Mus musculus: one gene and its partners. The protein of the gene in region 1 interacts with the protein of each later gene in a pairwise test. Links are inferred from orthologs where the notes say so. Each region holds a gene or a part of one and is shown on either strand. Other genes may lie near its edges. The genes, in order: Birc7, Casp9, Phf1, Polr1c and Ddx6.

The links.
Region 2: the proteins of Birc7 (region 1) and Casp9 interact in binary tests that used the Homo sapiens proteins (3 or more experiments, as listed by UniProt). The two-hybrid records come from large-scale screens. The link is inferred for Mus musculus from reciprocal best matches to the Homo sapiens genes BIRC7 and CASP9.
Region 3: the proteins of Birc7 (region 1) and Phf1 interact in binary tests that used the Homo sapiens proteins (3 or more experiments, as listed by UniProt). The two-hybrid records come from large-scale screens. The link is inferred for Mus musculus from reciprocal best matches to the Homo sapiens genes BIRC7 and PHF1.
Region 4: the proteins of Birc7 (region 1) and Polr1c interact in binary tests that used the Homo sapiens proteins (3 or more experiments, as listed by UniProt). The two-hybrid records come from large-scale screens. The link is inferred for Mus musculus from reciprocal best matches to the Homo sapiens genes BIRC7 and POLR1C.
Region 5: the proteins of Birc7 (region 1) and Ddx6 interact in a two-hybrid assay, tested with the Homo sapiens proteins (3 studies listed by BioGRID and IntAct). The two-hybrid records come from large-scale screens. The link is inferred for Mus musculus from reciprocal best matches to the Homo sapiens genes BIRC7 and DDX6.

Annotation. Positions count from the first base shown.
Region 1 is NC_000068.7:180,927,591-180,931,830, forward strand, and holds the start of Birc7 (baculoviral IAP repeat-containing protein 7 precursor), read left to right. Parts: upstream 1-1,432; 5' UTR 1,433-1,556; coding exon 1,557-1,923; intron 1,924-3,214; coding exon 3,215-3,314; intron 3,315-3,668; coding exon 3,669-3,747; intron 3,748-3,828; coding exon 3,829-3,874; intron 3,875-4,240.
Region 2 is NC_000070.6:141,807,103-141,810,613, reverse strand, and holds part of Casp9 (caspase-9 isoform 1 precursor), read right to left. Parts: intron 3,500-3,511; coding exon 3,352-3,499; intron 1-3,351. UniProt on the Homo sapiens protein: Involved in the activation cascade of caspases responsible for apoptosis execution. Binding of caspase-9 to Apaf-1 leads to activation of the protease which then cleaves and activates effector caspases caspase-3 (CASP3) or caspase-7 (CASP7).
Region 3 is NC_000083.6:26,931,661-26,935,936, forward strand, and holds the start of Phf1 (PHD finger protein 1), read left to right. Parts: upstream 1-1,466; 5' UTR 1,467-1,874; intron 1,875-2,533; 5' UTR 2,534-2,549; coding exon 2,550-2,708; intron 2,709-2,793; coding exon 2,794-2,875; intron 2,876-2,970; coding exon 2,971-3,066; intron 3,067-3,393; coding exon 3,394-3,494; intron 3,495-3,588; coding exon 3,589-3,737; intron 3,738-3,811; exon of another isoform or gene 3,812-3,879; coding exon 3,880-3,975; intron 3,976-4,089; coding exon 4,090-4,158; intron 4,159-4,258; coding exon 4,259-4,276. Other genes in the region: Kifc5b (kinesin family member C5B), read left to right, coding at 444-488. UniProt on the Homo sapiens protein: Polycomb group (PcG) that specifically binds histone H3 trimethylated at 'Lys-36' (H3K36me3) and recruits the PRC2 complex. Involved in DNA damage response and is recruited at double-strand breaks (DSBs).
Region 4 is NC_000083.6:46,245,243-46,249,519, forward strand, and holds the start of Polr1c (DNA-directed RNA polymerases I and III subunit RPAC1), read right to left. Parts: upstream 2,804-4,277; 5' UTR 2,722-2,803; coding exon 2,653-2,721; intron 2,559-2,652; coding exon 2,487-2,558; intron 973-2,486; coding exon 865-972; intron 507-864; coding exon 374-506; intron 1-373. Other genes in the region: protein YIPF3, read left to right, coding at 3,006-3,086, 3,599-3,796, 3,937-4,043. UniProt on the Homo sapiens protein: DNA-dependent RNA polymerase catalyzes the transcription of DNA into RNA using the four ribonucleoside triphosphates as substrates.
Region 5 is NC_000075.6:44,625,382-44,628,892, forward strand, and holds part of Ddx6 (probable ATP-dependent RNA helicase DDX6), read left to right. Parts: intron 1-1,006; coding exon 1,007-1,101; intron 1,102-2,256; coding exon 2,257-2,379; intron 2,380-3,259; coding exon 3,260-3,388; intron 3,389-3,511.

The DNA of each region.
Region 1 (4,240 bases):
GTTCCTTACAAACTATTATTTCTTATTTTTGAGACAGGGGCTCTCTCTAGCACAGGCTAGCACAGAACTTACTATCTAGCTCAGGTTGGTCTTGAACTCACAAAAATCTTCCTGCTTTATCCCCATGAGTGCTAGGACTGCATGCATGAACAGCCATGCCTATCTTACAATGTCTCACAAGCTCCAACCCCTCACCATGCCTCCCAAGACTCAACCTCTAACTGAGGGACTATTGACAGTTGGCAGCTTCTGGAAAAGGGAGGGTCAGTTTTCTTTAAGGTTGTGGCCCTTGGTAGGTTGCCCATGCTCCTGTGGACATCCCCACACCCATAAGTATATGGACACCACAAACCAGACTCAGTGGGTTATACATTAAAAAAAAAATAAATAAAAGGACATGAAGTTGGAGTGGATTGCTTTTTTTTTTTTTTTTTTTTTTTTGAGACAGGATGTCCTGGGTGTTCTGGAACTAGTTCTGGGGAGGCTGGACTCAAACTCAGAGGTCTGAAATTTTCAAAGAATTAATAAAAATATTATATATATATATATATATAAGCTCCCAATATTAAAAGCTTCACAATCAGTGAAGAGCGACTCAAGGGTAAAGGTTTGAGCAGAAGCCTGGGAATTACAGTGCGAGCTGCAGCAGAGCTGGCCCCTTGATCTTCTCTGCCTCTTCCAGGGGTCCCAAGGACTCTTGTTTTACCAACCTATAGCTGTGGCTTCTCTGGGGTGATGATCCTCCTCTCTGTTCCCTGTTTTTTTGTGTGTGTGTCAGTCGAATCCCTCACCTGGGGCTGGTTAGTGAAGACCAGGTTCTGGGGCAGAGCTCATTTAGGGAGGCAACATTCCATGTGACAGTGCAAATGGAAATGTCTGGCCTGGAACAAATACCATCCAAACCTTGAGCTCCTCCAGACAAAGGCCAGGGCACACCCTACCCTTGATTTGCCTCTAGACTGTCCAGACAGATAAAGAGCAACCTGAGACCAGATGGGTGGACTGACCCTGACTCAGGGCTGAGCCAAGCAGGGACCTCTCCTCAGTGCTGGGGACAAGATGAGCGGGTGATGAGGTCATCCCTGAACATCAGTCAGCACAGGCTTGGTAAGGAAGGATTGGTGGGGTTGCATAGTGTCCTGGACAGCCTAGCTTCCTACCCTGCAGGCCCCTGTCTGGGTCTATCTCCACCCAGAACTAGACCCTAAGTGTCTGGAATCTCTCTCCTCTATTTTGTCCATGTTCATGACCTGTTTCCTGAGGCTTAGGGGATGCCATTGGAGGGGTCCCAAGCTTGGTCCCTCCCCCTATTGAGAGATGCTTTTTGCCTGGTGGCGTACTGCCTTTGTTATGTGCCTGCCAGCAGGCCCCATGACACGCTGCAAAGAGCATGTGGCTGCCCTGGCCTCTCTCAGAAAGTGGCTCATTCCTGGACACCGCCACTGCCTCTGAGCATCTAGCAGCTTGCAGTTAGAAGCAGGAACACCACAGCCTCTGGGAAGGACTAGAGGCAGGAGCTGGAACGGTACAACACCAGGCACATTCCTGGGCTGGTGATGTTCTCACCTGCAGACTTATTCAGAGCTGCTGTCTTTTCCATGGGGCCTGAGAGTAGGGCCAGGGACTCGGTCCGTGGCCCAGAACTAAGCCACAGGGAAGATGGCAGTGGCCGCACACAGGAACAGGATAAACCCCACTGTCCGTGTAACCATGTCCTGGGCCAGGACTGCCTAGATGGGCAGATCTTAGGCCAGCTTCGGCCTCTGTCAGAAGAGGAAGAATCCTCTGGGGCTGCCTTCCTTGGGGAGCCTGCCTTCCCTGAGATGGACTCAGAGGATCTCCGGCTAGCCTCCTTCTACGACTGGCCATCTACTGCAGGGATTCAGCCTGAGCCATTGGCTGCTGCTGGGTTCTTCCACACAGGTAAATGTTGGGGTCTTTTTTACTGTGGTCTGAATGCTACTTAGCACTCTTCCAGGCAAACGGTTTTGCCCATTCTTGCCCTGAGGGAGGAACTAATAAAAGGTACTCCTGTCATCCTTGCCTGGTCAGGGCTAGACCCACTCAAAGCCACTATGAAATTCTGGGCTTATGCTGGCCTTGTTCTGAGGGCCCTTGAGGGGTCTGCTGGCTTGGTGGTTTCACCTGGCTTACACGGCTCTGAGGATTTCTTCAGGGATGCCCAGTCATCAATGCCTTTCAGGTTTGGTAGATAGAGCTGATTAATCCCTTTCATCCCTTAGCCCAAAGCGACAAAACCGGAATCTATTCTACTGGGGCAGGGGCCAGCTTAAGCATCCAGTGCCCATCTTGTAGGTAATCTCTCAGGCTTCCTAAGTACCTGGTTAGTGCAGGGACCAACTCCAGACAAATCCTTTGAATACCTGTTCTAGTTACAAATGTAGACTACTCCTTGAGCTTGGTCTGCTCTCATTCCCAGTAGGGCTCAGGTTCTGGCTCTGACTCTTCCTGGCTGAGGGAAAAGGAATCAGTGAGCCCAGCCGAGCATAGCCAGAGAAATTGTCACCAGTGGGCCTAGCAGGGGAGGAAACAGTCATTCTCCTAGCAACGGCCAGGCAAGAGTCCATACTGATTTAGGACAATCTGACACTGGTTATGAAGGGTCAATGTCTGGAACAGTTAGAGCCCCCTTGAAAAGGAGTCTCTTTGAGGCCAACAGATGTCATGGGTATTTTGTGGACCGTGGGTACCTGCTGTGGGATATGCCTGTAAGCAATCCTGTTTGGAACTTCTGCTCAAGGTCATGAAGGACACATATTCCTATGGCTGGGGGGGGAAGGGCACAGAGCAGAGATGATTGAGGCCTGAGCCACTAAAACCAAGTCTGTCTATAAACTGGTATGGAAGGGGTCACCTCCTTATCCTGTAACTAGAAGTCCTTCTTGGAGGCCCTGACACTCCCAGGCTACAGATGCTCCAAGCCTTTGGCTCAACCCTACCCACATGCTCTGAGAACAACACAAATGCTAGCTCGACCTTTCTGGAATATTCTGAAGCCCTCCTGACACATGCCCCAGGGCCATTGTCTTTATTTGCCTTTGAGGCAAGAGAGGTGTCCATGTGCCTTGCTCCCTTCTTGTTAACCTGCTGGCAGATTCTAGTCCTGCCTGTCTAAGCTTTGATGGTCATGGAGGGACACCCTGGGGTTGCCAACTAGGTGGGGCTACCAGCTATGTGTCTCTGCCATACCTAGGCCAGCAGGACAAGGTGAGATGTTTCTTCTGCTATGGGGGTCTACAGAGCTGGGAGCGTGGGGATGACCCCTGGACAGAGCATGCCCGATGGTTTCCCAGGTAAGGGCCCTGTGGGCTACTGCAGTTCTGACTAATGAGAAGGGTCCCAAAGAACTCTGTATAGCCTTCCCACCTCCCATGTTTCTGAGACATCAGGATCTCTCTAGGGCTGCTAGGGTAGGCACTCCCCTGTTGCTGCTATCCTTTCCAGGTGCACACCTAGGTATTCGGAGCCCAACTCCAGACTAGCCTTACTAGCAGGTGCCCATGGGGATACAGCCCTGACTACCTGTCACAGGAAGTAATGGGTTCCATGGGCACAGAAGGCATGCCAAATCCCAAAGGCTTGCAGGGCTCGAATGTGACAGTGGGGCTCTAAGAGTCCAGTCCTGTCTTCTGAGCTCTCTTCTCCAGGTGTCAGTTCCTGCTACGGTCAAAAGGAAGGGACTTTGTGGAAAGAATCCAGACCTACACCCCTTTGCTGGGATCCTGGGTAAGTCCATCTGTCCTCAGGACCCAGGTGGGCTGGCAGTCTCTGCTTTGCTTACTTAAGGCACCAATGGCTCTCTAACAGGATCAGCGAGAAGAACCAGAAGATGCAGTCTCTGCCACTCCCTCAGGTGAGAGAGCCTAATAGCCTTTGCTGTTTAGTTGGTGTTTGCAGCCTGCACGTAGGTCAGACTGTTGAGTGTCTCCACCTGCCAGTCAGCAGAGAGGGTGGGGTCTGTGCCCACATGTTGTGTTCAAGGTAGTGAATCCCCTTGCTCCTAATGAGAAGGCTGCTAAAGACACCAGCCAAACCTGGGCATGTAGTTGTGTGTGTGCTAGGCTATGGTTCTGCTGGGTACGAGCCACAACAGCAGCTGCTGCTTCTCCTTCTCTCTTCTCTTCTCCTTCTCCTTTCTCCTTTCTCCTTTCTCCTTTCTCCTTTCTCCTTTCTCCTTTCTCCTCCTCCTCCTTCTTCTCCTTATGGTTTTTTGAGACAA
Region 2 (3,511 bases), on another chromosome or scaffold:
GAAGTGACACAAGAAAGCAGGAGAACGAGTCAGAGAAGGACATTAGCCACATGTGTATCCATGTGTCATCCTCTGTCTGCAAACTGCATGTGAAGCCGAGCCACAGATAAGGATAAACCTGTCTACATGCAAGTCTGGTCCCCTGTAACAACATACAGCAGGAGGCAGAACGTCCCCTCAGCAATGCCAGCCCTTAGCGGCTGTGGCTGACTGTGGCTGCTCTCTGCCTTCTCCGACTAAACTCTAAAATTCTGAAGAGGACTCTCCCCAGGATTGACAGCAGGACCTGTCTGAGCCATGCTGGGCTCTGGCCAAGAGTGTCACACTGTGTAACACACACACAACACCACACCCATTGCTGGCTCTGGGGGGACCGTTTTCTAACCTGGTTCTAGGCCACCACTTAACAAAGGGTAGGTAATGTGTTGCCCTTCAAACGAAAATGGTGACATTGAAAACAGCAACAATAGAGCCACCAAAATCCTGGGCTGGCATCTGCCTGTGACATCTGCATGTGTGTGTACAGGATACCAGCCAGGCCTGAGAGCAGATGTCACTGCTTAGGTTCGTAGGTGACATGGCACCACCATGTGGCAACACCATTAAACAGCAGGCCGTACTTCCTGGTTAAGACAAAGCTAGACAAATTCCACAAGAGGGAACAATTTTGGAGGGTAGACAGGATCTCATGTAGCCCAGGTTAGCCTGAAACTATTGTTTGGTCTCTCTCGATAGCTCTGGCTGTCCTGGGACTCACTATGAAGACTACGGAGCCTGGAACTCACAGAGACCCTTCTGCTTCTGCTTCCCAAATGCTGGGATTAGCCTTGTCAAGGAAGGGAGCACTGGGCAAGACTTCCTGGAGGCAATGGCAATAAATTGTAAGCAGGGGGACAGGAAGAATTGGGAGCTACAGAGGTGGCTCAGCAGGTGAACACACTGGGCGCTTTGAGAAGGCTGTGCTGAGGAAAGCGAGGGCAGGCACAGCGGCAGGGTCCAGGTCATCAAAGGCTTTGATGACCTTGCCAAGAAGTCTAAAGAGTAGCCCTGTTCATGTGTGTGGGACCAAAATCCTACTGGCTTATGAAAACAGGGTGGGGTTTGGGGGTGGGGAGACTGGGTGAGGTGACAAGCATGCAGCCCCGTCCTGGGAGCTGGCACCTACTCAGCTCTGTTTCTTGTTCCCTCTTCGACTTTCAGGGTTTGGGGTTGGAGCATCATCTCAGAGCAGAAATTGGGTGAACAAGAGGACATCTCCATGGCTGTAGGGGTACAGCCGCTTTCTCCCTAAGGTCAGTATGAGAGATAACAGCACTGAACAAGGGGGACATGCGGGGCACCCCTGATCCCTGGGAGTACTGGAGAGGGAGTATGTGGGATATCAGGGTTGTTTTGTCTTCTGGTTTTGGCTTGATTTGTGTTGGTTTGGGGTTTTCAAGGCAGTTTCTCTGTGTAGCCTTGGCTGTCCTAGAACTTCTGTAGACCAGGCTGGCCTCAAACTCAGAGACCTGCCTGCCCCTGCCTCCAAAGTGCTAAGATCAAAGGCATGCACCTTATTTATTTATTTTGAGATGGGCATTTAATTATTTATTCATTTATTTTTGAGATAGGCTGTGGTGAATATACCTGGCCTGTGGGAAGTGGCACTATTAGGAGATGTTAGAGCAGGTGTGGCTTTGCTGGATGAAGTGCATAATTGTGGGGGTGGGCTTTGAAGCTCTGCCGGGTATGTAAGAGACCCTCCTCCTAGCTGCCTGAGAGTCTCTTCTGGCTGCAGTTGGATCAAAATGCAGAGCCCTCAGCTCCATATCTGTCTCCAGCACCATATCTGCCTGGACGATGCCATGCTTCCTGCTATGATGTTAATGGACTGAACCTGAGGACCTGTAAGCCTGCCCCAGTTAACTGTTGTCCCTTATGAAAGCTGCCTTTGCCATGAGTCTCTTCTCAGCAGTGAAACCCTAACTAAGCCATAGGGTCTTACTGTACAGCTCTAGTTGGCCTGAAATTCACTATGAAGAGTAGGCTGGCACTGAACTCACAGAGGTCCACCAGTCTCTACCTTCTGTGTGCTGGGATTAAATGTGTGGGCTGGAGAAATGGCTCAGTGTGTAAGAACACTGTTCTTCCAGAGGTCCTGAGTTCAATTCCCAGCCAGCAACCACATGTTGCTTCACAACCATCTAAACTGGGATCAGAAGCCTCTTCTGGTATGCAAGTGTACATGCAGATAGAGCACTCACATATGCAAAGGAAATAAGTCTTTGTAGGGCAATACTTGGAATGTAAATTAATAATAATAATAATACTAATAATAATGATAATAATAATATGTCCATCACCACATCTTGACCACACCCTTGCAAGTCAGAGGTATGAAATAAAGGTGTTACCCAGGCATGGCTATTTACAGTGATCTTGTAAGTACAGAAGTTCAAATTCAAAGGTGATGTCTCTTAGAAGTCATTGAGAAGGAGGGGAGAAGGAGGGAGGAGGTGGTAGCAGGAGGTGGTGGCAAGAAGAGCAGCTAACACTTGAAGCTGTCCACCACATTGAAATCCGACAAGAATTCGAGAAGCCCTCACTGGAGCCAGCACCATGATTTTGTATTTTCAGTTTCTAGATGGTGAGGTGGTAAACCTCCTTCCCTTATGTATTCCCGAGCCCGTGGTATTCAGTTCTAGTGACAGAAAACACATTACACCACCAAGCATAGAGCAAAACCTCAATGTCCCTCAGATCCTTGGGCTCCTGGGAGTTCCAAGAGTTAAATTCTTTAGTTTCTCCTCGACACTCAGTGCACTTTCCCTGGGACAGTAGAAATGGGGTCTTAACTAAATGTCAGAGGTCAGGGGAAGGTGCCAAGGCAAACTGAAGAGTCGTTTTACGCTCTCCTTTGCTCTGAGTGTGTGTGTGTGTGTGTGTGTGTGTGTGTGTGTGTGTGTGTGTGTGTTAATGTTAGCATGTGTGCGAGTGCACATGTGTGCACATGCATTTTGGGGACCATTACCTCTACCTGCCTAGCCGTGGGATTACAGGTGGGCACCATGGTGCCTGGCTCAGACTCAAGAGCTCCACGCTTTCATGGCGAGCACCTTACAGATGGAGTGGTCTCCCCTGCCCTGCAGTTTTTTACTGAAATTCTAGGACTGAAGTGATCAGGATTATACTAACCACTGATGTCACAGTACCCAACTGTCTGATGGTGCTGGGCCTGTGGTGGCAAGGAGTGAGTCCTGCTGTATGGATACCAGAGATGTGTAGAGAAGCCCACTGACCCAGTGAGGGGCTAACGTGGGGTTATCCTGGTTTCCTGCAAGCCCTACTCCCAGCGGGCTCCAGGCCACTCACCACCACCGCAGGCCTGGATGAAGAAGAGCTTGGGCTTCCCTCCCAGGCTGGGGCAGCCGCTCCCGTTGAAGATATTCACAATTTTCTCAATGGACACGGAGCATCCATCTGTCCCATAGACAGCACCCGGGAACTGGAGGTGGCTGGCCTAGGGGACAAG
Region 3 (4,276 bases), on another chromosome or scaffold:
CCATAATGGAGTGCTGTTTACTGCTCGCTCCTCTTGGCTTCCTCAGCCGGTTTTCTTACCTCATTGGGGAACCACCTTTTCAGGGGTGGCACTGGCCCACACTAGGGTTGGGTCCTCCAACATCAATCATTGATTAAGAAAAGGCTTGCTCACAGGCCAATCTGATGGGATATTTTCTCAATTGAGGTCCCCTCTTCTCAAATGAGGAGTAGCCGGTGTCATGTTGACATAAAAACTAGCCAGCACTATAAAGCTTCGTCTTTTCAGTCCGGTCTCTTCCAGGCTTAGTGGACATAGCATCACCATCCCTCCAGGGGGCAGGCTGGACCTGCTTCCATAACAGAGACTTCAGAGATTCAGATGTGGGCCCAGCACGGGGCAGAGTGGGAAGGCTTCTCATCTGTAACCCTTGACCTTGTGTGACCCTGTTTATCTGTCCACAGGTGAACCAGTGTGTCATTGGTACTGCTCAGGCTAATAAGAAGTGAAGTCGGATCCAGAGCCCTTGCAAGCCAGTGCGCATGCGTCTCTGTTTTAGTGTGTATTTATTCGGTGGGGGTGGGTGGGAGTTGAGACATGATATTACTGGGTATTTATTATGTAATAAAGAATAATCTTTTGTATGTTAATCCTTTTCTTAATCTTAGATTTTAAAAAATTGTGTGCAGTTGTTTTGCCTGAGTGTATATGCATGCACCATGTGCATGTCTCCTGCTCCAGTGAGTTCAGAACAGGGCTTCAGGTCCTTCAAGAACTGGGATTATGGAATACATGTGGGTCCTCTGCAAAATCAGTCAGTGCTCTTAACCGCCCAGCCATCTTCCCAGCCCGGCCCTTGTTACAGCTCTAAACGGTTTTATTAACTTAACGGTTTTAGCTGCCAAAGGAAGGTATTGTAAATAAATACTGTAAGCACGTAGAAATGTCCATTGTGATGTGTTTGCAGAGTGAGGCTATGGGCTTTCACTTGGTGGGGCACACTTTGCCGTCCTGATGCCTCTTCTCTACCCTTCGGCACTGGGCCCTCTTAACAATTTCTTAGGACTGCCAGGCCCCAGCCCCAGCCCAGAACAGGAATGCTCTTGTCTGGTGTGACTGCCAGTGCACTCCACAATCTCTTTCTTTCCCTGCCCACCGGTTCGAACCATGGTTCCGTGCCGCCTAGTGCCTATTGGCTGGTGTGGGCACGTCACTAACTCAGTACTAGTTCCAAATAGCCCCTTGTCCTTTCCCTCCCAGGAGGAGCAAACCTACACCAGTGCTCTCGCGGCCGGAGGAGTGGCCGTGTGCCCAGGTGCGGCGCACAGGCGGGGTTACGCGTGCGCAGAAGGGCGGGGCGACAGGCAGCGTGAATGGGGAGGGCGGTGCCGCGTGCGGAGGCGGAGCTTGGAGTGGCCACGGGGGCGGGGCAGCTAACGGATGTGGCATGGGGCGGGGCCCGGCCCTGACCTGCAGGCTAGCTGCCAAGAAGGTTATTTCCTGCTGACCCAGAGCAAGCCTCCCATCCGAAAAAGGGGCTGCAGGGATTTCCTCGACCTCCGCGACCGGCCGCGCCCCCAACAGCGCAGCGCCCTCCGGGCCCGCTGGAGGTGAGGGAGGTGCTGCCTGCCCGTCCCTCTGTCGTCTCCTCCCCCTGGTGCTCCCCACCCTCCACTCTCCTCCCTCCTTCTGTCGACTCCTCCTGCCGCTGCTGCTGCTTTGGCTGCTGCGTCATACGCCCCAGAGCCGCCAGGACGGAGGGGCTGGGCCCGGGGACCCCCTGGCCTCCGCCTGCACGCCCCCCGGCGCTCACACTCAGTCTTCCCGCACCGGAGACTCATCCAGGTCTCTTGAGTCTGACCCTACCTGGCTTCCAGCTGCCCCGGCTGTCACCGGTAAGGAGGAGGCGGGAGGCCTGGAGAGGGGGGCAGGGAGCTGGGGGTCGGTGAGGAAGAAGGGTTGGAGAGCCTCCTGGTCTCAGCTTAGGGTCTGTGCTGGGGCGACTCAAGTCCCTCCTTGGACTGACAGTGTAGGGGAGTAGAGACTTGGACAGGGACACGCCCCCCTCTTGGGGCACTCAGGGAAGTTATCTAATCCCGGGTCAGAGAGCCCCAAATTTGAGGGTGACCTAACATCACCTGGCACCAGGGTGGTGGTTCTAAATAAGACACACAGGCCTGGGGAGGCAGCTGTTTCTACTCGGGAAACGTCTTCAGAAAAGCTCCCAAAACATCTCTGGGCAACAGATTGCCCCATTTAGGATCCCTGTAAACAGCTGGGCAAGGTGAAGCTAAGCGGTAACCTTGATTCCGCAAAGATCATTTCACCTGAGTCCCTAGGAGCTGGGAAACTACAAAACGAGGCAGGGGAGATGGAAAAGAGTAGAGTCGAGAAGCTGACCAGAGCCACCCACCTTTATAGGGCTCAGGATTAGAAGACTGGGGCGTTGGAGCTGCTCCACCAGGAACAGGGTTTCTTTATCCATAAGAGAAAACAACGAGCTCAGGGAAACTTTCTCAGCACCCATAACTCTAACCATCCTATCTTGGAATAGGCCCCCCCAGGATGCAATGGCGCAGCTCCCCCGGCTGAGCCGTTTGGGTGCCCCCTCTCTCTGGGATCCAGCTTCCCCTGCTCCCACCTCAGGCCCCAGACCTCGGCTTTGGGAAGGCCAAGATGTGCTGGCCAGATGGACTGATGGGCTGCTGTACTTGGGTACCATCAAAAAGGTAAGACCCACCTCTGATCTCACTGCCTTCCCAGTCTCCAGTCAGTTCTCATTCCCATTTTAGCATCACTGGGCACCCATTCCAGGTGGACAGTGCTCGAGAGGTGTGTCTGGTCCAGTTTGAGGACGATTCCCAGTTTCTGGTTCTATGGAAGGATATCAGCCCAGGTGAGACCTTCAGACTGAAGCCTGTGACAGCAGAAGCTGGAGTGGGTGGGGACACTGGTTGTTGGTAGGCCTCCTGACACTTTGTTCCCTCACAGCTGCCCTCCCTGGGGAGGAGCTGCTCTGTTGTGTGTGTCGCTCTGAGACCGTGGTACCTGGGAACCGGCTGGTCAGCTGTGAGAAGTGTCGCCATGGTGAGAGGCCAGGATACTTAGGTGGTGCAGTCTGCCCTGGGTCTTCTGGGTTGCCACTAGCCCTGCCTTATAGCATGAGTTATGTCTCCTGTCCTGGCCAGTCTTCACCCTGTCACCACATCTCTCAGAACAGGGCGAGGGAGCCATAGATCAGGTGACCCAGGCCATGCAAAGCTGAGGGGCTTACATTACCTTTCTTAACCGTGCTTCCTTGGGCTAGGCCCTCAGCTGTGAGAAGCTTGTTGACTCACCTGCAGTGTCAGGATAACACACACAGCAGGACTTAGATGCACACAGTGGTCTACCCTCAACATTGTCCTTATTCAGCTTATCACCAGGACTGTCACGTTCCCAGGGCCCCGGCCCCTGGAGAAGGAGAGGGCGCATCCTGGGTATGCCGCCAGTGTGTCTTTGCAATCGCCACTAAGGTAAAGGTGCCTCTCTGCCCCTGTGTGGGAAGCTCCTGTGGTCTCTCCTCCGTTCCTGCCTCTCTGAGGTCTCCATCTGTCTGTCCCTCTGCAGAGGGGAGGCGCACTGAAGAAAGGTCCCTATGCCCGGGCCATGCTGGGCATGAAGCTCTCCCTGCCATACGGATTAAAAGGGCTGGACTGGGATGCTGGACATTTGAGCAACAGACAGCAGAGCTACTGCTACTGTGGAGGCCCTGGAGAGTGAGTGGAGAGGGTGTTGTCAAGCTATGGGATGGGGGTTGTTGTGGTGGCAGAGCCCGGGAAAATGGGTGAACAGGGGGCGAGGGGGCCCTGTGGTTTCAAGAAGGCTGTCTGAGGGCCACAAGCGCTGTCTCCCCTCCAGGTGGAACCTGAAAATGCTGCAGTGCCGGAGCTGCCTCCAGTGGTTCCATGAGGCCTGCACCCAGTGTCTGAGCAAGCCCCTCCTCTACGGAGACAGGTGAGACAGGACATGCACGCATGCTCGGGAGTCCACCTGTGCTCTCCCGCAGTCCTCTGCAGCCGGGGTCAGAGGGCTGAATGAGGTGCATCCTCTGTCCTGGCCCATGTGCAGATTCTATGAATTTGAGTGCTGTGTGTGCCGGGGCGGCCCTGAGAAGGTCCGGAGGTTACAGCTTCGCTGGTGAGATGGGTTGTGATTCATTTCTGTTGTCCACCATGTTACCCTAATGACCCCTGATTTTGATAGCGCCGATGCTGCTGACAATTCCATGCTCCTCCAGGGTGGATGTGGCCCATCT
Region 4 (4,277 bases), on another chromosome or scaffold:
TGAACTCAGGACACATCTGCCTGCCTCTGCCAGTGCTTGGAGTAAAGCTGTCCACCACCGTGCCTGGCCATATCAACTCTAATACCAGGCTGACAAGAAGGCTCACAGAGTGAGGGTGCATGCTTGCTCCAACCTGAAGACCCAAGTTCAATCCCCAGGAAGAATGTAAAGGTGGAGAGAGCCTGAGTGCTGCTAGCGCTGTGTTCCGAGGGTGTACACAGTGAGACTAGAGGTGGGGTGGGGACAGCTGTTCTCCCAGGCGAAGGCAGATGTACAAGATGCCAACTAAAGCCCCAGCAGTAGGCCTGGGACCTGAGCCCATGCATTCCAGGTCAGTTCTGCCTAACTCATAATCCCAAGCTCTCAGCCTCACCTTGGTTCCGATATTCAAAGAGACGAGGATCAGCGAGGATGGGGATGAGCCCCAGGCGGTGAGCAAGGATCTCATCCTGGACTATGGACGTGTTGTTATACACCAAGACCTTCTCCACGGCCATTGTCGGCACCTGCCCAAGGAGGCAAAGCAGACAACTGACCTCCACCCATCCCCCTGCCTGGAAAAGGAAGAGGCAGCACTTTTTCATTTTGCCCTTCAGATTCTTTTTTTTTTTTTTGGTTTTTTGAGACAGGGTTTCTCTGTATAGCCCTGGCTGGCCTGGAACTCAGAGATCCACCTGCCTCTGCCTCCCGAGTGCTGGGGTGCTGGGACTAAAGGCGTGTGGCTCAGATTCTTGATACAATGTTTACTATGTAGCCCAGACTGTCATAGGTGTGAACCACCCTACCTGCCCCAGAGGGATGGCTTTGAGAAAAGCGTCTACAAATTGATACAATTTCTACCCTCCAGCCCACGTCCTCTAATACCTCAGCTAACAGGATTCTCCGGAAAGCATTGGCGATGGCAGCATCAATCCCCACCATGTCGAACTCCAGCGTGTCTTCATCCATTTGCACCACGTCCACACGGAAATTCTAGAAGGAGGGAAGCTCCTGCATGACTCCTGCCTGGCTCCTACCCTGCACTATCCCCTCACCCTAAAGTCATGGTGCTCAGTAGACATTTTGTCTCCAGTCCTGTTCTTGGGGGCAAGGCTGTGTGTTTCTTGTTTTTTAGGTTTTTCCAAGGCCAGGTTTCTCCATGTAGTCCTGGCTGTCCTGGAACTCTGTAGACCAGGCTGGCCTCAAACTCAAAAGATCCACCTACCTCTGCCTACCAAGTACTGGGATTAAAGGTGTGCGCCACTATGCCCAATCTTCCCAGATTTTCCACAAACCACCCAGAGAAGTTACTATACAAAAAGCAGAACTTCCCACACTACTTAGACCGTTTGATACTTGCATGTCTGTTGTCGTTATTTTTTAATACCTACTTTTCTCAACTACATTCCCTTGGATTTTGAACACCAATTTCCTTATCTGCTCTTCTTTCTAAATTTCCCCTTCCACCCACACAGTAAACGTTCCTGTCTCCTAGGTTCTAATCCCCTGGCTGACCTCCACCATGCTCCTGGCTCAAGCAAGCACATAGACTTCACAAGCAGGCACCTGAGTGTACCCTCATTCTTGTTCTCCTGCTTGGCAAACGACACAGCCAGCAACAGTTCCCCAGTGCCACTGGAGAAATGGCTCAGCTATTAAGAGCACTTAACTGCCCTTGCAGAAGAACTGGGTTTGGTTCCCAGCACCTGGTGGGACCTAACATTCTCCTCACACTGCAGGGATCACTAACACACAGTGGTGCACAAATACACATGCAGGCAAACACGCATATCAAGAAAGTTTTAGGGTCCTCAAGTTACAAAGTCCTTTCTCTCACACACTGCCTCCCCAGAGCACTGGTGCAAATCGTCTAGTTCTCCCTGCCTTACTCCGTTAGTACTGTCTGGAGTTCATCTATGCCCCCAATTTCAGCCTGCATACACTAGCTGGCAGATTCACCAGAATTCATTCCCTCCTGGCTATCAAGATTGCAAAATGTTATCAGTCTACTCAAAAATTCTAAATTGGGCGTGGTGGCTCATGCCTTTAATCCCAGTGCATGGGAGGCAGAGACAGAAGCAGGTAGATGGCTGAGTTCAAGTCCAGCCTGGACTATAGAGAGAGTGCCAGGGCTAAACAGAAACAGTTTCAAAGTGAATTTTAAAAAAATCATATATAATGAAGCTCCAATCAGGCCTTCACTACTCAACTTTTATTCATAGTTCAAAGCTTAATTCAAATGCCATTCCCTTCACTGACCTTTAACTACGTCCCTTCAGTTAGCTGGATTCAGTGCATCAATGATTCCTGACCATATCCCAGCCATCTTCACCGCTATCTTACTATTCTGGAATAACTTGTCTGTGTGGTCCATTATCCCACCGAGAGCAACCACCGTGTCTGACCCGTCCATGGAGCTCAAGCGTGTTGTATGGAAACAGCGACCCCCACCCCAACCTGCGAGGTCTGGCCCCTCGGGCCGACTGGGCACCTTCAGCTCTACCCACCTTCTCGAAGCGGTTCTGGTCCCAGGCATCATCATAACCGGCGTAGTTACCGGGAAAGTCCGTGGTGTGGACCTAGAGCCAACAGAAAGGGCAGTGTGGCCAGCCTTCACACCAGGCCTCTACTTCCCCGTGCCGCCCTCATCCTTCCCGCGCCCCGATCTCTTACATTGCGAACCCCAAACTCTCCGAGAACCACGCGAGTCCGCATCTCCTCCACCGCCTGAGCCGCCGCCATCTTCCGCCACTCGCTGTAAAAGGAGGCGAGTCCGCGCCTGCGTCTCCGCAGCAACGCTCGGGCTCCCGCAATCTTGAATGTCGCGAGATCTTGCCCCGCCTCTGTCCACGTCCTTCACTTCCGGACGTCAAGTGGGGCCAAACATCCGGGTTTCTCCCTTCGGCGTCCCGGCGGATCCCCACCTTGCCCGGGCGGTCGCCCCTCTGAACCTCTCCCTCCCTCGGACCCGGGTCGCACGCTCTTCCCACGCGCGCGTGCTCCAGCGACGGGAAGCCTCGAGGGACATGGCGACTCCGGCGGCGCCGGCCAGCGGCGTCCGAAATGGTGCTGGCCCGGAATGGGGAGGCTTCGAAGAAAACATCCAGGTATGGAGCGCGCCTGCTGCCAGCAGCCCCGGGCTGGCGGCGTCCGGACGGTGGCTGCTGTTCTCTCTCGCGGGGCCTAGAGGTCGGCTCCGCTGAAACGCAGCCTGTCCCCTTTGAGTCTTCCCGGGGAAGGGTGTAGCTCTTGTGCTGGCGTGAAAGGGACAAACTAGGGCTCCCGCGGGCCTCGGCTCTCTGTGGGGGCTGGAGGCTAGGATCCACTGGCACCCCCTAAAAATAGGCTTGTTTGAGAATTGGGAATGGCAGATGGGCTCTTTTGCAACTCTTTGGAGCTTTGAGGTGGAAAGTAGGAAAACAACGTGGATTGAAAATAAATAGTAGGGTTTCCAGGACCACAAAAGTGACGCGACCAAGAGTTGCCACCACTGAAAGAGTGGCAGTTCCAAGCCATGTCCTCGGCAGTGGAAGATCAAAGCCTCAAGTTGTCAGCTGAGCGGAGAACGGGGAGGATGCAATGGAAGGGCCCCTCACTCTCCGAGCCGTTGTCTTCACAGGGTGGGGGTTCGGCTGTGATTGATATGGAGAACATGGACGATACCTCAGGCTCCAGCTTCGAGGACATGGGTGAGCTGCACCAGCGCCTGCGGGAGGAAGAAGTAGATGCTGATGCAGCTGCTGCAGAAGAAGAGGATGGGGAGTTTCTTGGCATGAAAGGCTTTAAAGGACAACTGAGCCGGCAGGTAGCAGATCAGGTAAGCCAATGGGGAAAAAAAAAAGGACCTATGCATGTCCTAAATTGATCGAGGTTTTCCACTTAGACCCACACGTAAATCTCGCCGAGACTGAATAACAATCTAGAGCCAAGAGTCTCATCATACCCATTTCCCTTCAGATGTGGCAGGCAGGGAAGAGACAGGCTTCCAGGGCCTTCAGCTTGTATGCCAACATTGACATCCTCAGACCCTACTTTGATGTGGAGCCTGCCCAGGTCCGAAGCAGGTGAGGCGCCTTCTCTGAGACATCTGTCCTCACATCTAGACCCTCATCCAGACTTCACTCAGACTCAGAGCCCTGAGCTCTGGTGGACTCCCCTACTTGCAACCCCATTACTGAACTGAACATGTTGTGAATACTTGGTGAAAGGTACAGTTGGCTAGGTACCCCTCAAGTGCGCTAACCCCTCTTCCCTCCTACCCCGCTTCCCTCCACACCACCATCCTTTAAATGGCAGGC
Region 5 (3,511 bases), on another chromosome or scaffold:
GATAACTAAAAGGTTATTCAGCCTTATTAGTAGTTTTGGTTTTTGTTTTCCTTGACAAGGTCTCTCTATGTAGACCAGGCTGTCCTCAAACCTCCAACTCACAGAGACCTCTCTGCCTCTGCCTCTGGAATTCTGGGATTATTTTTTAGTATTGTTTAATGTAGTTCAGAGTACCATATTTATATTAACTGTTCTAAATTTCAAGGCAAAAAAGTATTAGTTATGAGTGATGGATATTTGTGGAAAGTAGGCTGTTTTATAACATAAGTGTACAATATATATGACAGTATATTTCAGGTTATAAACTTAGATTTTCAAGTACTTTGATAAATATAAAATTGTATATATGCAAAGTTGTTTACTCTGAAAAAGAAGGCAAATTTAAATATTTCAGGAGATTGGTTAGATTCAGTGAGCCTGAATGGAGTTTCACAGTCAGTAAAGATTTACGTATTGAGTTTTTATGAAGGGCTGTTCACTGTATAATGCTGGGTGAAGAACAGTAACAAAATAGCAAGAGTCAGGTTTTACTCAGAATGTTAATATATATTAGTATTTGGTTATTTAGCTATATTTTTTAACTTGCACAATTTTTGGTTTAGTGATCAGTCTTTTTTTCCCCTTAAAACAGTCTGAGCAGCATTGCCCAGATTGAAGACATGTCTTTTGTATGCGAAACCCTGTATTCTGGCTGTTATTTCTTGCAGATTGTCATAAGATAAAAGTTGTATGCCTTTAGTTGGAATTAGTAATTTGGGAAATTAGCCCATTTATTGAAGAGTTGAAACAAGTATTGTCTACCTGCTGTAAGAAGAGATGAAAATATACAGCCCAAAATACATCTTTGTACCTTTTGGTATTAATTTGTACCTCTATAAATATTATCTATGATGCTAAATATATACTATAAAGTTACAAGTTTTTTTTTTTTTCCGTCCTAGGTAAAATTAACAAGAGAGTATATATTTTCTGAATCTTTTTTATTTTTCCCTGTAAATCTTTGTAGTGCATGTGGTGATCGCTACCCCTGGCAGGATCCTGGATCTCATCAAGAAAGGCGTGGCAAAGGTTGACCATGTCCAGATGATAGTGCTAGATGAGGTAATGTTCCTGACTGTCCTCCTCTGAGCTCAGCTCACACCCTGTCCTGGATACGTGTGATTAGAAATAACCAAGCCAAGTTCGTTTTATGTCTTTCTATTCAGTGTTAACATTTTAAAAGCATGTAAGCTAAGCTAAGATAGTTCTTAACCCTACCCTTTGTTTTACATCTGCTTCTTTATATTGTTTGGTTCATGTGTGTCTGAAATTTGTTACTTCCTTAGGTTATAACCTAATATGAATTCCTTTTAAGAAATTACTCGACTGAAGCCAAATGTTTTACCTGGGAGGTAGAGTCAGATGTCTGTCTTGAATTTGAGGACTGCATAGTAAGTTTCAGGCCAGTCAGGACTACAAAGTGAGACTCTGTCTTAAAAATAAAAAACTACTCCTCTGTGTCTCTCGGGTGTAGCAGTGCTATATGCATTTAGTGTGTCACTATTAGTGTTTTGGTATACAGCTATTTTCCTTTTCTGTTTTGTTTTAGATTACTAGTTTCTGGCTTTTCACTAATGAGGAATAACACTGACTATTATATATTGAGTACATAATGTGATATTTAGTCTGATAAGATATAGGTTGTTATGGGAGTGTGGATAACCTGTGTCCATAGTTGAGGACATTGAAACATGGCTAAGTGGTACCCAGTACAGCTAACGAGTAAAACATTTCAGCCCAAATGGCCTTGGATTTATCGTCCTGTTTCTTCTACCTTCTGAGAGTAAGGTTTATGCCAACCACATCTAGCTCAAAACACATTTTTGACCAATATACTCTATTATCTCTTTAATGGGGATCACATTTAAATTCTGTCAAAGAAAAGGATTTTGACAGTCTACATATTTTTTTCCTTAGGGATTATAGCCTCTGCTTTAAGACAGATTCATAATGTAGCCCAGGCTGACCTCAGCTTCTCACTTCTCTCCCAGGTCAGCCACTCAGGTGCTGAGCTTACAGGCATATGCTACCACGCTAGGCTCCTCCCCCTTATGCACTGCTAGGGGTTGTCCTGGTAACATTGTCTACATTAGAGTCTTAGGGTTATAGCCAGGAGAAGCCTGTGTGTAGGTTGTGCATTGCCCTTTGCTTATATTGCTCTCCAAAACTTTTAATGCCTTATTCTTTTTTAAAAGTAACTTTTTTTTTGTATTACAGGCAGATAAATTGTTGTCACAGGATTTTGTGCAGATAATGGAGGATATTATTCTCACACTACCTAAAAATAGGCAGATTTTACTATACTCCGCTACTTTCCCTCTTAGTGTACAAAAGTTTATGGTGAGTATTAGCTCTGTACCTGGCATCAGTGCTGTCATGGTACTGAGTGTGCTTTTACCTGTAATTACATTGTATTATCAGAATATATGTTATTGCAAGGTTTCGGATTTGTTTTTTTTAATATGGTCAATAAGATTTGGGCATGGATTTAGTTTTTTGAGACAGGGTCTCACTGTGTAGCCCTGGCCAGTATGCTAGCTTCAAATTCACAGAGGTCTCTGTCTCCCAAGTACTGGGATTAAAAATATGTATGTGCACTTTTTTTTTTTTTAACTTAAATGACCTCTACTTGTTCTGAGGCTAGCCTGGTTTACATGAGTTCCATGCCATCTGTCCATCCGTCTGTCAGTTGGTCTGTTTTTCTCTTTTTTTTCTTGGTTTTGATTTTTGGAGACAGTTTTGGGGGTTTTTTTGTTTGTTTGTTTTTGTTTTTGTTTTTTTTCCGAGACAGGGATTCTCTCTATAGCTTTGGCTGTCCTGAAACTCACTCTGTAGACCAGACTGGCCTGGAACTCAGAAATCTGCCTGCTTCTGCCTCCCTTGGAGACAGTTTCTATGTGTAGTGCTGGCTGGCCATGAGACCCTGCTTCAAAATGAGAGGAGTTGTGATTTTTTTTTTTTAACTCTGTGCCAAGGTGACATATCCCATCGTAAGTTGGTTATAGCTCATCTCTGTGAGGTGCATTTGAATCTGAGGTCTACCATTTTAGTATAACTTATTTTATGAATACTTGGTTTTGAAAAGAGATTCATCCTTTAGAGCAAGAGACAAAATAAAAAACCAAAAAAAAAAGGTATAAACTTGGGGCAAGAAATGGGAGCTCTTGCCTTAGCATGCCTGAAAGTCTTTACTTAATGACTGTGTTCCCTCCCACTCCAGAATTCCCATCTGCAAAAACCCTACGAGATAAACCTGATGGAGGAACTAACTCTGAAAGGAGTAACTCAGTACTACGCATATGTAACGGAGCGCCAAAAAGTGCACTGCCTCAATACACTTTTCTCCAGGGTAAGTAGTGGGCTTTTGTGCTGAGTCCTGTCCTTCACTAATTCCTAGCAAGTTGGACAATTAGATCATTTTCCCTTTCCTTTCCTTTCCTTTCCTTTCCTTTCCTTTCCTTTCCTTTCCTTT